2 linked regions of the Schizosaccharomyces pombe genome follow. The protein of the gene in region 1 purifies or fractionates together with the protein of each later gene. This does not show direct contact. Each region holds a gene or a part of one and is shown on either strand. Other genes may lie near its edges.

Evidence for each region.
Region 2: the proteins of med7 (region 1) and srb10 purify together in Schizosaccharomyces pombe (affinity purification with western blotting; 3 studies listed by BioGRID, with this or other methods). This does not show direct contact.

Annotation. Positions count from the first base shown.
Region 1 is NC_003423.3:4,169,288-4,177,119, forward strand, and holds med7 (mediator complex subunit Med7), read left to right. Parts: upstream 1-3,072; 5' UTR 3,073-3,354; coding exon 3,355-3,600; exon of another isoform or gene 3,601-3,666; coding exon 3,667-4,551; 3' UTR 4,552-4,711; coding exon of another isoform or gene 4,712-6,160; 3' UTR 6,161-6,501; downstream 6,502-7,832. Other genes in the region: ubiquitin ligase Doa10, read left to right, coding at 1-2,198; adenylosuccinate lyase Ade8, read right to left, coding at 4,712-6,160; SPOM_SPBC14F5.10C (ubiquitin-protein ligase E3), read right to left, coding at 6,965-7,832.
Region 2 is NC_003424.3:1,574,984-1,579,589, forward strand, and holds srb10 (mediator complex cyclin-dependent protein kinase subunit Srb10), read left to right. Parts: upstream 1-1,723; 5' UTR 1,724-1,870; coding exon 1,871-2,853; exon of another isoform or gene 2,854-2,918; coding exon 2,919-3,045; downstream 3,046-4,606. Other genes in the region: SCF complex, Cul4-RING and CLRC ubiquitin ligase ligase E3 subunit Rbx1, read left to right, coding at 427-501, 690-839, 903-993, 1,038-1,045; protein Not11, read left to right, coding at 3,331-3,462, 3,509-3,673, 3,810-4,001, 4,060-4,557. UniProt on the Schizosaccharomyces pombe protein: Catalytic component of the Cdk8 module/Srb8-11 module which is a regulatory module of the Mediator complex that regulates basal RNA polymerase II transcription.

The DNA of each region.
Region 1 (7,832 bases):
GGGCTTTTAATATTGTGAAAATATTAACTAAACTTCCTCTGTTATCAACTGTTTTCGTAAAACTTAAGCTTCAAGGAATTTTTTCTTCTTCTTTCCAACAGGTTTCAAATAATATGTATAGTTGGATATATGATCATGTATTTTCTTCTTCCGATCATGCCTATGAATCGCTGATATATTATATGAAAACTGGACATAAGCAAGTCGTTCAATCATTTTCTATTTTTCCGGTTTTCAGGGTTTGCCAAATGTTTGCTGTCATACTAAAAGATTTTGTTGAAAATTACTCTAATAGACCAGTAGACCGAGTTTTTACTACGCTTATCGGATACTGCATGTTTACGTTTTTAGGGATTTCATATCTTAATCGCAAACAATTTCTATTTAATGACCCTCAAATCAGGAATGTGGAATTAGCTTTTAGAGAAGTTTTGAGACAATGCGGATCTATAGCAAAATTCGGAATAATTTTTTCTATCGAATTGGTTGTTTTTCCTATTTTCTGCGGGATATTGCTAAGCATGTGCTTAATTGGCACTTTCAAAAAGCTTGCTGCCGAGAATCTTCTCAATGTAATGACAGTTTATCCAGCACAAAGCATTTTTTTGGCATGGTTCATTGGGATAACATTTATGTTTGAGTTTGCGGTTTTCATTTCCATGGTACGTAAAATTGTTCGTCCTGGAGTCCTGTATTTTTTGCGTGATCCAAATGATCCTCAATTTCATCCAATTCGTGAAATTTTAGAGAAACCTATGCTCTTTCAATTGAAGAAAATTGGATTCAGTGCAATACTCTATTTCGCTTTTATTATTGGCTGTGTTGGTAGCGTTATCCATCTTTTAAAGTCAACTGGAATAATTTTTCCTATTGAATTCACTACTAAGCCTGCTGTGTTTGAAGCACCAATTGACTTGTTAGCGTTAGAAATTCTCATATTTTTAAGTATTAAATTATTTAAACCTCTCGAACTCACTAGAAGTTTTTGGCGAACTTTGGTGTCAACATTCTGCAGATGTTTACGTCTATCATCATATGTTATGGGTCAAAGGTATAGTGATGAAGAGGGTTATTATCCCAAGCAATATTTTTCTTTTCTTAGAAGGATTATAAGCAAACCTTCGGATACCGAAAACCAAGATGATGGTGATAAGCAGAAAGCAAAGAAAGACTTTGTCCAAGACGGTTTCTTTTTGTGGTGTCCTTCTAAGGATGTTGTGCCAGTTCGCCAAGGAGCCATGCTTATACCTGTGACAGAAAATGGTTATGAAATTTTTGGTGAAAAAAAGAAGGTCGAAGAAAATGCGGACTATACCATTACTTATGCACCTTCTAATTTTTATAAGCGTTTGATCGCTTTGTTGTTATTTTGTTGGATATGCTCAACACTTGTGACAGTATTGTTAGTGTTTGTTCCACTTTCATTAGGAAGAGCTATTTATGCTTGGTGCTTTCCTAATGTGGTAAAGCACGATTTTTATGCTTACGCCATTGGATTTTACTCTATTTCTTTTCCAATGTATGCAATTCACGCGTCTGTTAAGTTTCTGAAACTTGACTATTTACGAAGCCTTATGAATAAACTAAATTTAAAAATTGTTATGAGGAGCTTAGTAATGGCGTTAAAATATCTTTTATTAGCATTCCTTGGAATATTTATCTTACCACTCTTACTTGGAGCTATATGGGAATTATACGTCGCTATACCTTTCCGAACGATATTTAACAGAGGGACTCTTGCTCTCGATGCATTCCAAAACTGGGTGATTGGTCTTTTTATGCTTCGTATGATATATTTTACTGTGACTTCTAATGAAGAGCGTTTCGTTTCAAGGTTGTTTCAAGATGCTTTTCGTGATAGATGGACGAATCCTCAAATTCTTCCATTATTAAAAAATGTTCTCATCCCTTTTACATCAGCCTTAATAGCCGCCGTTGTGTTGCCAAGTGTTTTTACTTACGTAACCTATCCTTTTCTTTCATCCATTTTCCCTTCTGCATCTAAAACCCTTATGTATCGGTTGATGCATCCTATATTTTTAGCATTACTTGGGCTAGCACTCTTGGGGCGCCGTTTTGTAGAAACTAGTAGTAAATGGTCGCAAGGAATACGTGATGATTTATACTTAGTTGGTACGAGACTGCACAACTTTGGCGAATCTGCTCCTCCAGCCATTTCTGAGTCTGCCGAAAAATAAAAGTCTAGTCATCTACTATTTTTCAGATTATCCTTCTCTTTGGAAAACTGGAGCGAGGACATCTGAAGTAATATAGAGCATTGTGAATGTATATTATTTGAATGATGTTTTTGTTTTAATTGCTACGAAACTGTTAGTTTAGTTGCAGGAAATTACAAAAAGTCATCGTTTGAACAATTGGTTTGTTATTGTTATATTGCCAGGCATCTTATCCAATTTATCGTAACTGGTATTATCATGATATGGTGCTATTTATTTAATTTTCTTTACAAAATTGAACAAATATCAATTATCGTTGAATTTCTTTGATGTATCTGATGACTGTATCAAACCGTAGCAGCGAAAATTTGCAGACAATCACTAGCAATGGATAAATTAGTTAATTACTAAAAAGAAACAGTTATAACAAATATGTTTACTACGGTTATGTGACAAATTTATGAAAATGTAAAAGTTCGTAGTATTGCATGTGTTGATTTTGTAATCCATTCAATACTAACTAATCCTTCGTATAGAGGAATATCAAAATACTTTATCACTTAATCAATTTAAATTTTACGATTATGTTGGCCTAGTAAAATATTCATGTTAAGGATTTTATGGCATTCAACAATAGCGATAAGCTGTAATATTACAAGTAATAAACTCCTACTTAATTCGTTTCCAAGCCCATTTATTAAAAAGAATAATTCAGTGTTGTTAAAAGAAACACTGCAATTCTCTAAAAATTAAAAAAGCCAAGAAGTGTATAATTTTAAGCTACTTTAATCAGTGAAACTAATTTAAAACCAAGAATGATTAAAGATATCGAAATAAACAATTTATAGCAAAATTTATTGGTGATAGAAGCTTTCACTTCGTATTCCATATGCCAGATAAAACTACCCACTTTTACTGACTATTCCAAAATCCATTTTGAGCAAAAGATCGGTTATTTTCAAGTGTTTTTATATTCAGGATTTTCATGTCAATCAGTTATTGAGCGTCATATCGTTGTTCAATTACGGTTTTCTTAACATTATAGAAACTGCTTTTCTAAAAAAAAAAAGAAAAAAAAAGAGCAGGCATTTTTATACTAAGAATCAGCGATAAAAGGGAAGACAGTTACATCAATCTAAAATCTAGTTTACGATAAATACTATTTAACTAAAAGAGAATGGAACCAAACGAAGGAGTACAACTGTTTTCGGCTTTTCCGCCTCCACCTCCATATTATAAGTTATTTACAAGAGAAAACATAGAAAAAGTAATTTCAAATATGGAGAAAGAAGCAAAACATGAGGATGACGCGAATACTTTACAACCTAAGACTGAAGAAGAAATAGAGTCGCTGGCCAAGCTGTTTAAGAAGCCGTCATGTCTCACATCTGGGACTTATCAAATGTTTGGTGACACATGGAGGGTAAGTTTATTTTTATTGTTTTACATTAGCTGCTTTTCATCTCTCACTAACTTATATCGCTTATAGCTAGACGAAGCTATACCTTCACTCAAAGAATTTGGAATCCCTGAATTATATAAAGATATAAAAGATGGAGAAGATGAAATTGAAGTGGTAGAATATGATCCTAAATCCAATGCGATAGTTGGTACTAGTTTTACTCGTGTACACGATTATGATAAAAATTCACCAATTGAAAATGAAAAAATTCTGGAGGATGATCAACATACGGCCATGAAAGAAAAAGATAATGAATCTGATAAGACAATGAAAGATGTCGAGGAAAAGACTGAGCCCTCTCTTAAAAAGGAAGAGGAGGATATACAAATGAAGGAACCTTTAGATTCTCAAGATACTGGAGCTGTTTCAGCTTCTTCGGTAAACGAAGGTTTCCGGGCAGATCAAAAATCAAAGGATGGAGAAACGAGTGATTTGATAAAAATTCCCCGGCGAGCTTATGAACTACGATTTTTATCCCGCTCACTTATGCTTAACTTTCTTGAACTCCTAGGGATTATGGCGAAGGCACCCGAACAGTTTCCTTCTAAGGTTGAAAACATTAGGGTGTTGCTGCTCAATCTCCATCATTTAATTAATGACTATCGTCCACACCAATCTCGTGAATCTTTAATTATGCTTTTAGAAAAACAATTAAAACATGAAGAGTCGCAGGTTGAGCTATTACGTACTCATAACCGGCAAATGACCGAAACTTTGGAAAAGTACAAATCATTAGATTTTAATATGGAGAAGGAAGGAGATGTGATTCAACAATTAAAGTCGTCAATAAAAAAGCCATTGTCAGGCGCTGAAGATGAGCAAAAGTCTAGGTCTATGTTCTCAAAAAATGACGAGAAATTAAAAAAATCGCTTGAATTAATGGAAGACGTGATAAAACGAGATCTTAGCTAATAAACCGGTTTATCTAGTAGAGTTATTTTGCTATTTCCTCTGCTTTTAATATTTGTTTTACAAACAAAAATTCATACTAACGATGAAAAAAATGTATTCTTTCTATTTTAAACAAATCAAAAAAGTTCGTATCCACTACGAAGCAAACCAAAATTTATATTTAAACGGCAAGATCAACCTTTTCCTCAGTGATCATGCTCTTGAAAGGCGCAAGCGCTTGAGAGACGTCCTTATTTACAAAGGATTCAGTCTGCTCGGGAGCACGTCCAACAAAAGTGGATGCATCCAACAAAGAATCTAGCTCATCATAAATAGGAGCAAAATAAGGAGTATTCTTAATACGCTCAATTAAGTCGTTATCCCCTCCCTCTTCCTTGACTACTCGGCCAGCTTGATGAGACAAGACACGAATCTGCTCGTGACACTCATGACGACTAGCACCGTGCTTAGTCATAGCCATGATAATGTTTTCAGTGGCCATGAAGGGCAATTCAGCACGAATGTGTTTTTGAATAACCTTAGGATAAATGACCATACCAGAAATAACGTTCAATAGAATCTTAAGAACGCTATCTGTAAACAAGAAGGCTTCAGGTAACAGAGAACGACGGTTAGAGCTATCATCCAAAGTACGCTCAAACCATTGAACAGAAGCAGTATTAAGAGCATTAGGAATCAAGTTCATAATATAACGAGCTTGAGAACAAATACGTTCACAACGCATTGGATTACGCTTGTAAGCCATAGCAGAACTGCCAATTTGACCAGCCTCAAATGGCTCTTCTACTTCTTTCAAATTAGCAAGGAGACGGATATCAGTTGCAATCTTATGAGCAGTAGCACCGAAAGAAGCTAATGGTTGCAAAACGTCAATATCGATCTTACGATCATAGGTTTGGCCGGTTACAGGATAAACGTTATCAAAACCGGAAAGCTTGGCAACCAATTTATCCAATTCCTCAACCTTGGCATGATCGCCCTCAAAAAGGGCTAAGAAGGAAGCCTGAGTGCCGGTGGTACCCTTGACACCACGGAAACCAATGTCATTTCTAGCTCTTACAAAATTTCTCAAATCCCATAAAAGCTCTTGAATCCAAAGAGTGGCACGCTTACCAACGGTAGTTAATTGAGCTGGTTGATAATGTGTAAACCCAAGAGTAGGAATGTCTTTGTATCGCAAAGACCACTGGCTAAGACGATTGATAACGTTGACTAACTTAGGGATCAAAAGATCCATGGCGCTGCGTAAGAAAATCAAGTCAGCATTATCGGTTACAAAACAGCTAGTAGCACCCAAATGAATAATACCAGAAGCAGCAGGAGCAGCAAGACCATATGTATAGATGTGAGCCATAACATCGTGTCTCTGACGCTTCTCTTCCTTAGCAGCGATTTCAAATTCTGGAGCTGTAATTTTGACATGCGCTTTAAGTTGCTCAATAGCTTCATCAGTAATTTGAGTTAAACCGAGTTGCTTTTCAGCAATGGCGAGATTCAACCACAATTGTCTCCAAGTATTAATACGCATTTCTCTTGAAAAGAGATGAGACATTTCAGCAGAAGCATATCTTGCTGTCAATGGTGTACTATATGAACCATAATCCTCCATATTCGATAATCTTAAGCTCGCCAAAAAATTTCTACCTGTTGTGGTGAATGGACAGTGAGGAACCAACACTAAGTAGTGCTCTACAAATGCTCCACCTTGAGAAGACCATCAGATTTATTATTTTGTAATTTCCATATTAATTAGTTAACGCGCATGAAAAATCAAACGATAATTTATTGTGCCTCCATGCTTCATATGTAGTATTCACCTAACCCACCAAGCAAATCAATTGAAGATCAAGTATAGAGGAGTAAAGGTGCCTTTCCACATATGTTAGCAATATTACAAAAGGGGTTATAAATTTACTTTAACCAATGCCTAAGTAAGAAAAAGACAGAGACCACTTCGTCAATTGAAACTTGTATTCTTAAACTAGTGAATATGAAATGTGAACTAGTAAGAGCAGAAAATTAATTTCTCTATAATGCCAAAATCTACTTCATCAGCAGATAACGAAAACCAAAATTATTTTGGATTATACTATTAAAATATCTTCACAGTGAAAAAGTAATAAACAAAAAACCATCAAGAAAAATAAATATTAAAAGTTGCAAACATCAACTATTAAATAAAGTGTGAAACAAAAAGAGAATTCTTGCTGTATTGGCATGGGTGTTTTTAAATTGGTCAAAGAAATATTCATGACAATCAACCCCAGATATTCTCAGATGCCAAGAATTAAGTGCTCATTTGTATAGGGTAATTAGATGTATTTTGATCGTTTTCGAGATAACCTTTCAGTAAATCAAAGGCTATATTTTATGGCCCATACAAAGGGCGCGCGACTTCAACTACAATTAAAACTCAAGCAATGGTGCAAGCACTTCCAACACGATACCACCAACTTTCTTGAAGTTGAGTTAACCAAATAAGAACCAAAACCAGTCGATCGGTCGGGTTGTCAACTTGCAAAATGCGAGTTTTCTCAAGCTCTGAGATAGGAAGAAGATTGGTGATTTTGTAAGACAAGTCAGCAATTGACTGTCTAGCCTCCATTTTTATATCGATTAAAGGTACAACCCAATGAACATATGTTCGGCGGGCATTCATGTAAAAAGCATCTATTCTTTCAACTAATTCTTCATTACTTAGATTACCATACATTAATAGATATTCAGGCTCAGGAAATTGGAGTGGAGTGGCTCTCAAAGGAGTATCATAGTGCTTTTCAATTTTCACTCTCGGAAACAAACCATCAGCTCGAAAATCGATTATACGAACACAATATGAACCACGGGCTTCTACAAGACTTCTCCCATCGATCAAAGGCTCGACTTGGATAATTTCTAAAATTGTACCATACTCAGAACAAAAAAGACGTTGACCACGAGCATTTCGAAGCTCTCGATGCTCATTATGACCATCACTTCGTGCTCTTAAAGGCATTGCAATACAAAATCGCTTAGAAGTCTCCAGACATTTTTTGATCATGATGTGGTATCGCAGTTCAAAAATATGAAGGAATGTCGGCATTCTGGGATATGCAAGCATGCTAATAAATAACGGAAGCCAACTTTCCTGTTCCTTTTCTTCTTCCCATGATTTTTGACGTTCTAACCAATTATCTGGGTAAAAATCTCGCAAAAATGTGGTAATAGAGTGGCTTTTCGCATGTTCCAACACAACAGGAGATGGGAGCCCAAAACGACAAGTCGGGCATTGAGGAGACTGG
Region 2 (4,606 bases), on another chromosome or scaffold:
CGTCTTCAGTACTTCGATATTATATACAAAACTTATTCAATAGATGTCTAACGAGCACACATAATACAAATAATATCTAAGAAACTTGTATTGTCATCATGTAACATAGAATTAAAAGTTTACACATTTAAACAAACTGAGTAATTTAATGTAGCTAAATAGATATAGTGCTAAACACTCATGAAACAGCAGATGAATAATCATCCTTCATTTTTTGAGTACGCATTTTGCGATTGAAAGATCCATGATCCATTATTTATTATATTAAATACTTGTGTTTTAGCAAAATTTATTACATTACTCCAAAAATTATCTTATGTTTGAGTATTGCTTAGCGAAGCTGCAATTTTCAACCCCCTTTATCACACCGCTTAAACATCTCATCTTAAAACGAAGTAGCGGCTTTGCTCTATTTTACTCATCACAATGGAAGATGAAATGCAAATAGACAAGAAGGAGGTGGAAATTGAACAAAAACCTCCTCGATTTGAAATTAAAAAGGTTCGTCATTATTTTTATGATCATGTTCTTCATGTGTATCAAATTTGCCATAAAGCAAAGTAAACTGTGAAAATTAATACCCAAAGATATATTTGCTATTTTAAAATAAGCATACACTTAAGTACTAGTTTACTCTCTTTGCTTTTTTTATGAGTTCTTCTGATTCATATTGCTTACCTTCAATTTAGTGGAATGCTGTAGCATTATGGCAATGGGACATTGTTGTAGATAACTGTGCTATCTGCAGAAATCATATTATGGACTTATGTATTGAGTGTCAAGCTAACACCGATTCTGCTGCTGCTCAAGAGTGCACAGTGGCATGGGGAACTTGTAATGTAAGTTTTAATTCGATTTCTTTCGTATTCTTAGCTCAGGACTGTTTTTAACAAATACAAAAGCATGCATTTCACTTTCACTGCATCTCAAGATGGTTAAACACTAGGAATGTTTGTCCTTTGGACAATCGTGAATGGGAGTTCCAACGTTATGGTAGGGTATATTAAGACGAGCCTACTTTACTAACTTTATCTCAGGTCATTAATAACATTTATTAAGTACTTACTTTTTTGTTGGTAAAAATATTTCAATGGAGCAGAGCGTTTTATTAATGAAATGACATGAATCAATTAAAATTTCCTAAAATCATGACTACTTGTGGCTAGTTTAAGTTTCCATGTGACTTTGAATTGTTATTTATATTTATTTACTCCAATTACTCAGATAGTGGACGAATATATCAATTTATTTTATTGCTTGTCAAATAAAATTTCCTACAGACAGTTTTTAACTACACATCATATAAATTAAGACATTATATCACTACTTTGTATACACTTGAAGAATTAGAACATTACTTAAATCATCAAAAGAAATGGCATACTTCTAAAGTGCTATTGTTAAAATTGAATAGGCATACAGACATTATGCTGCATATCGCATGACAGAATGCGAATCATTGCTTTCGAGAAGAATGTCAGTGGTGAGATACAAAAGCTCAGTAGTGCACGGATTTTCTATACTTGCCAATCAATTCACAAATTCAGTTAACTTTTAAATAAGAACAAACAGCTTTATGAAAATTACCATCTGATGTTTAAAACCTTCAGTTTATCAGACTTGGTGTTTTCGTTAATAGTGGGTAGGCATAAAAAGATTCGTGGTACTTTGACTCTTTATTCGCCTAATACTAATGTTTCTGTCGCCTTCGTCACTTCCCACTATAGAGAGACCTACATTCATCTGACTTTTTAAGTGATACTAAAAAGTCGGATACTTTTTATATAAAGACTGTAAAAAGCATCCCTATGTGATTGAATGTGTATATATCCATCTCTTTAAAGGTTTGATAGGGTAGGGTCATTTCAGCATGAAAGACGGTTATAAAATTATTGGGTTTATCTCATCTGGAACTTATGGAAAGGTTTATAAAGCGGTTTCATCTAATTCGAATGATAAACGACTGTTTGCAATTAAAAAGTTCAAAGCTGAGTCAAAGCAAGTAAGCTCGAATGCTCAACAAACCGGCGTTTCTCAAAGTGCTATTCGTGAAATGATGCTGTGTAGAGAAATTCAGCATGAAAATATAGTTAGCTTGGTTCAAGTTTTACTCAAAGATGGCACAATTAGCATGGTTTTTGAATACGCCGAACACGATCTGTTGCAAATTATTCATTTCCATAGCCGATCTAGAACAAGACAAATTCCACCATCAATTTTAAAAAGTATTCTATGGCAGATCATTAATGGTGTAGCATACCTACATGAAAACTGGATTATGCATCGAGATTTGAAACCAGCAAACATAATGATTACAGCTACAGGCAAGGTAAAAATTGGGGACCTAGGGCTGGGAAGGCTCATTCGGGATCCCATATTACCATTTTATTCCAGCGATCGTGTAGTAGTTACTATTTGGTATCGTGCGCCAGAGCTACTTTTGGGAGCTCACGATTATACCCCAGCAATAGATGTTTGGGCAATTGGTTGTATTTATGGAGAAATGCTTGCTCTTTCTCCTCTTTTCAAAGGAGATGAAATAAAAATGGAAGATAAAAAAGTCGTTCCTTTTCAGAGTACTCAAATGCTACGCATAATGGAGTTACTAGGCACACCAACAGAAGAACGCTGGCCAGGTCTCAAAAATTATCCAGAGTACTATCAATTATCATCATTTGAAGTTCGTTACTGGAATAATTTGCTTCCTCAGTGGTATCAAACCGTAAAAAATCGGGATCCGCAAGGGTTAGATCTACTGATGAAAATGCTACAATACGATCCAAAATCACGCATAACTGCTAAGCAAGCTTTGGAACACGTTTTTTTTACTTCCGATAAATTATGGACCACTAGGTACGTGTTCTTCCTTTTCCTATTTATCATCGAAAGAAATAAGCTTTTACTAACTCACTTTTTAGCCCATTTTTAAATCAACCTATTCATTATCCAGAAAGGAGAATTTCAGAAGATGATTCCGAGGTTTCCTCCAAACGCGTACTATCTACTTCACTAAGGTCCGAAAGTAAACGTTTTAAAGGAAATTGATTGTTAATGCTTCCCTTAAGCTATTTAAAAGATTATCTGTAATTTTCAATTAAATATTTCGCCTTTTCTTGGACGTATATTTGATATTCTGTCTACGCAGGGCACCGTCGTTTTATTTAAGAATACCTAAAAAACTCACGATTATTTATTCATATTTTTGACCATTGAGATACTAAAATTTTTTTTCAACTATTCTAATATATGGTTCAAACCATACATTTTTGCTAGTACATCCACGTTGTGACTCATTATTCTTATTGTTTTAGAGGGAAGATTCCAACAGCCATGTTGGGTAAGGAATGGGAAAACACTAGCTTTGCAGAAATTGGTCTACTACATCAAGCGCCTAACGATAATGACTTAGAAAAATTTCAACATGCTCTAACGTTAATGAGTGAGGCTGATAACTCTAGCGATGTACTAACTTATGATTTTTTACTGGATTTTCTCTAACTTGCCATAGCTTTTAATACCACTTATTAGTGACTTTTTAATATGGTTTTATTATCAGAAAACACCTTTAAAATGGATTCCTTTTCTAGGTCACTTTTTTAATACCTGGCAATCTTGTAGTTTTCCTCCCCGCAGATATTTGCTAGCTAAAATACTTTCAGGGAGAATTTCAGAGGTATGTGTAAAGAGAAAAAGAAAGCAGTTTATTTTTTTTTGTTTCGATACGTCAATTTTCGAACGAAACTTTTGTGATTGAATTTTTTTTTTGCCATAACAAATGCAAGTTGTTTGTTGGTACTAACTATGCATAGTTGCTGAAAGTTTCTCCTTTTGAGCTTGCCGCTTCTGTAACTAGCCAGGATGTAGTCGAAGCTGATTCCCTAGTTGAAGAGAATGAGTTACAGGCTTGGCTAGAAAAACAAGAACTTGTACCGTCTTCCTCTAATTTTCTAAATTCTTTTTGGATTTCAGGGGGAGAGAGAGAGCTAACGGAAGAGGAACAGGTAAGATTATCCTTTTTTTTTCAATTTTCGAGGAATTGCTACTGACATTTCGCTTTAGAATTCTTTACTTCAAAGCAACACGACGTACACAAATTCTGATTTGCCTGCCTCCAAGCAGCTTGAATCTTTTATTTCGATGAACCTTTCTTATAGTAAAGTTTTTTTCCTTCATCTTCTACAGCACTCTGATTCCTCGTTTAACGATAAATTTCTCTTGCTTCTTGCTAATATTCCCGTTACAGTTTCAAATGTAGAAGTCTTACTTTATTTATTGCAACAAGAAGAAAGCCTTGCTCAATTTGATCTTAACGGCAAATCTTTTCTTTATCACATGCTTGTATCCTTGCATAACCAAGTTACCAATACATCACATTTAGAAAAGCAACGAATATCCACTGTTGCGACTTTATTTATATCCAAACTATTCGAAATACCTTCTTTATCTGAGTATTTATCGAGCACATTGTTTTTAGATCTTCAGGCCTTTTGCATCGTTGCTTTACCGCAATCAGCTAAGCTATTCCAAAAAGTAAAAGCATTAAAAAATAACCCTTGAGTTATTGAAAAGTTAGTATAACTCTATTATTTATTCGTATCTATTTAGA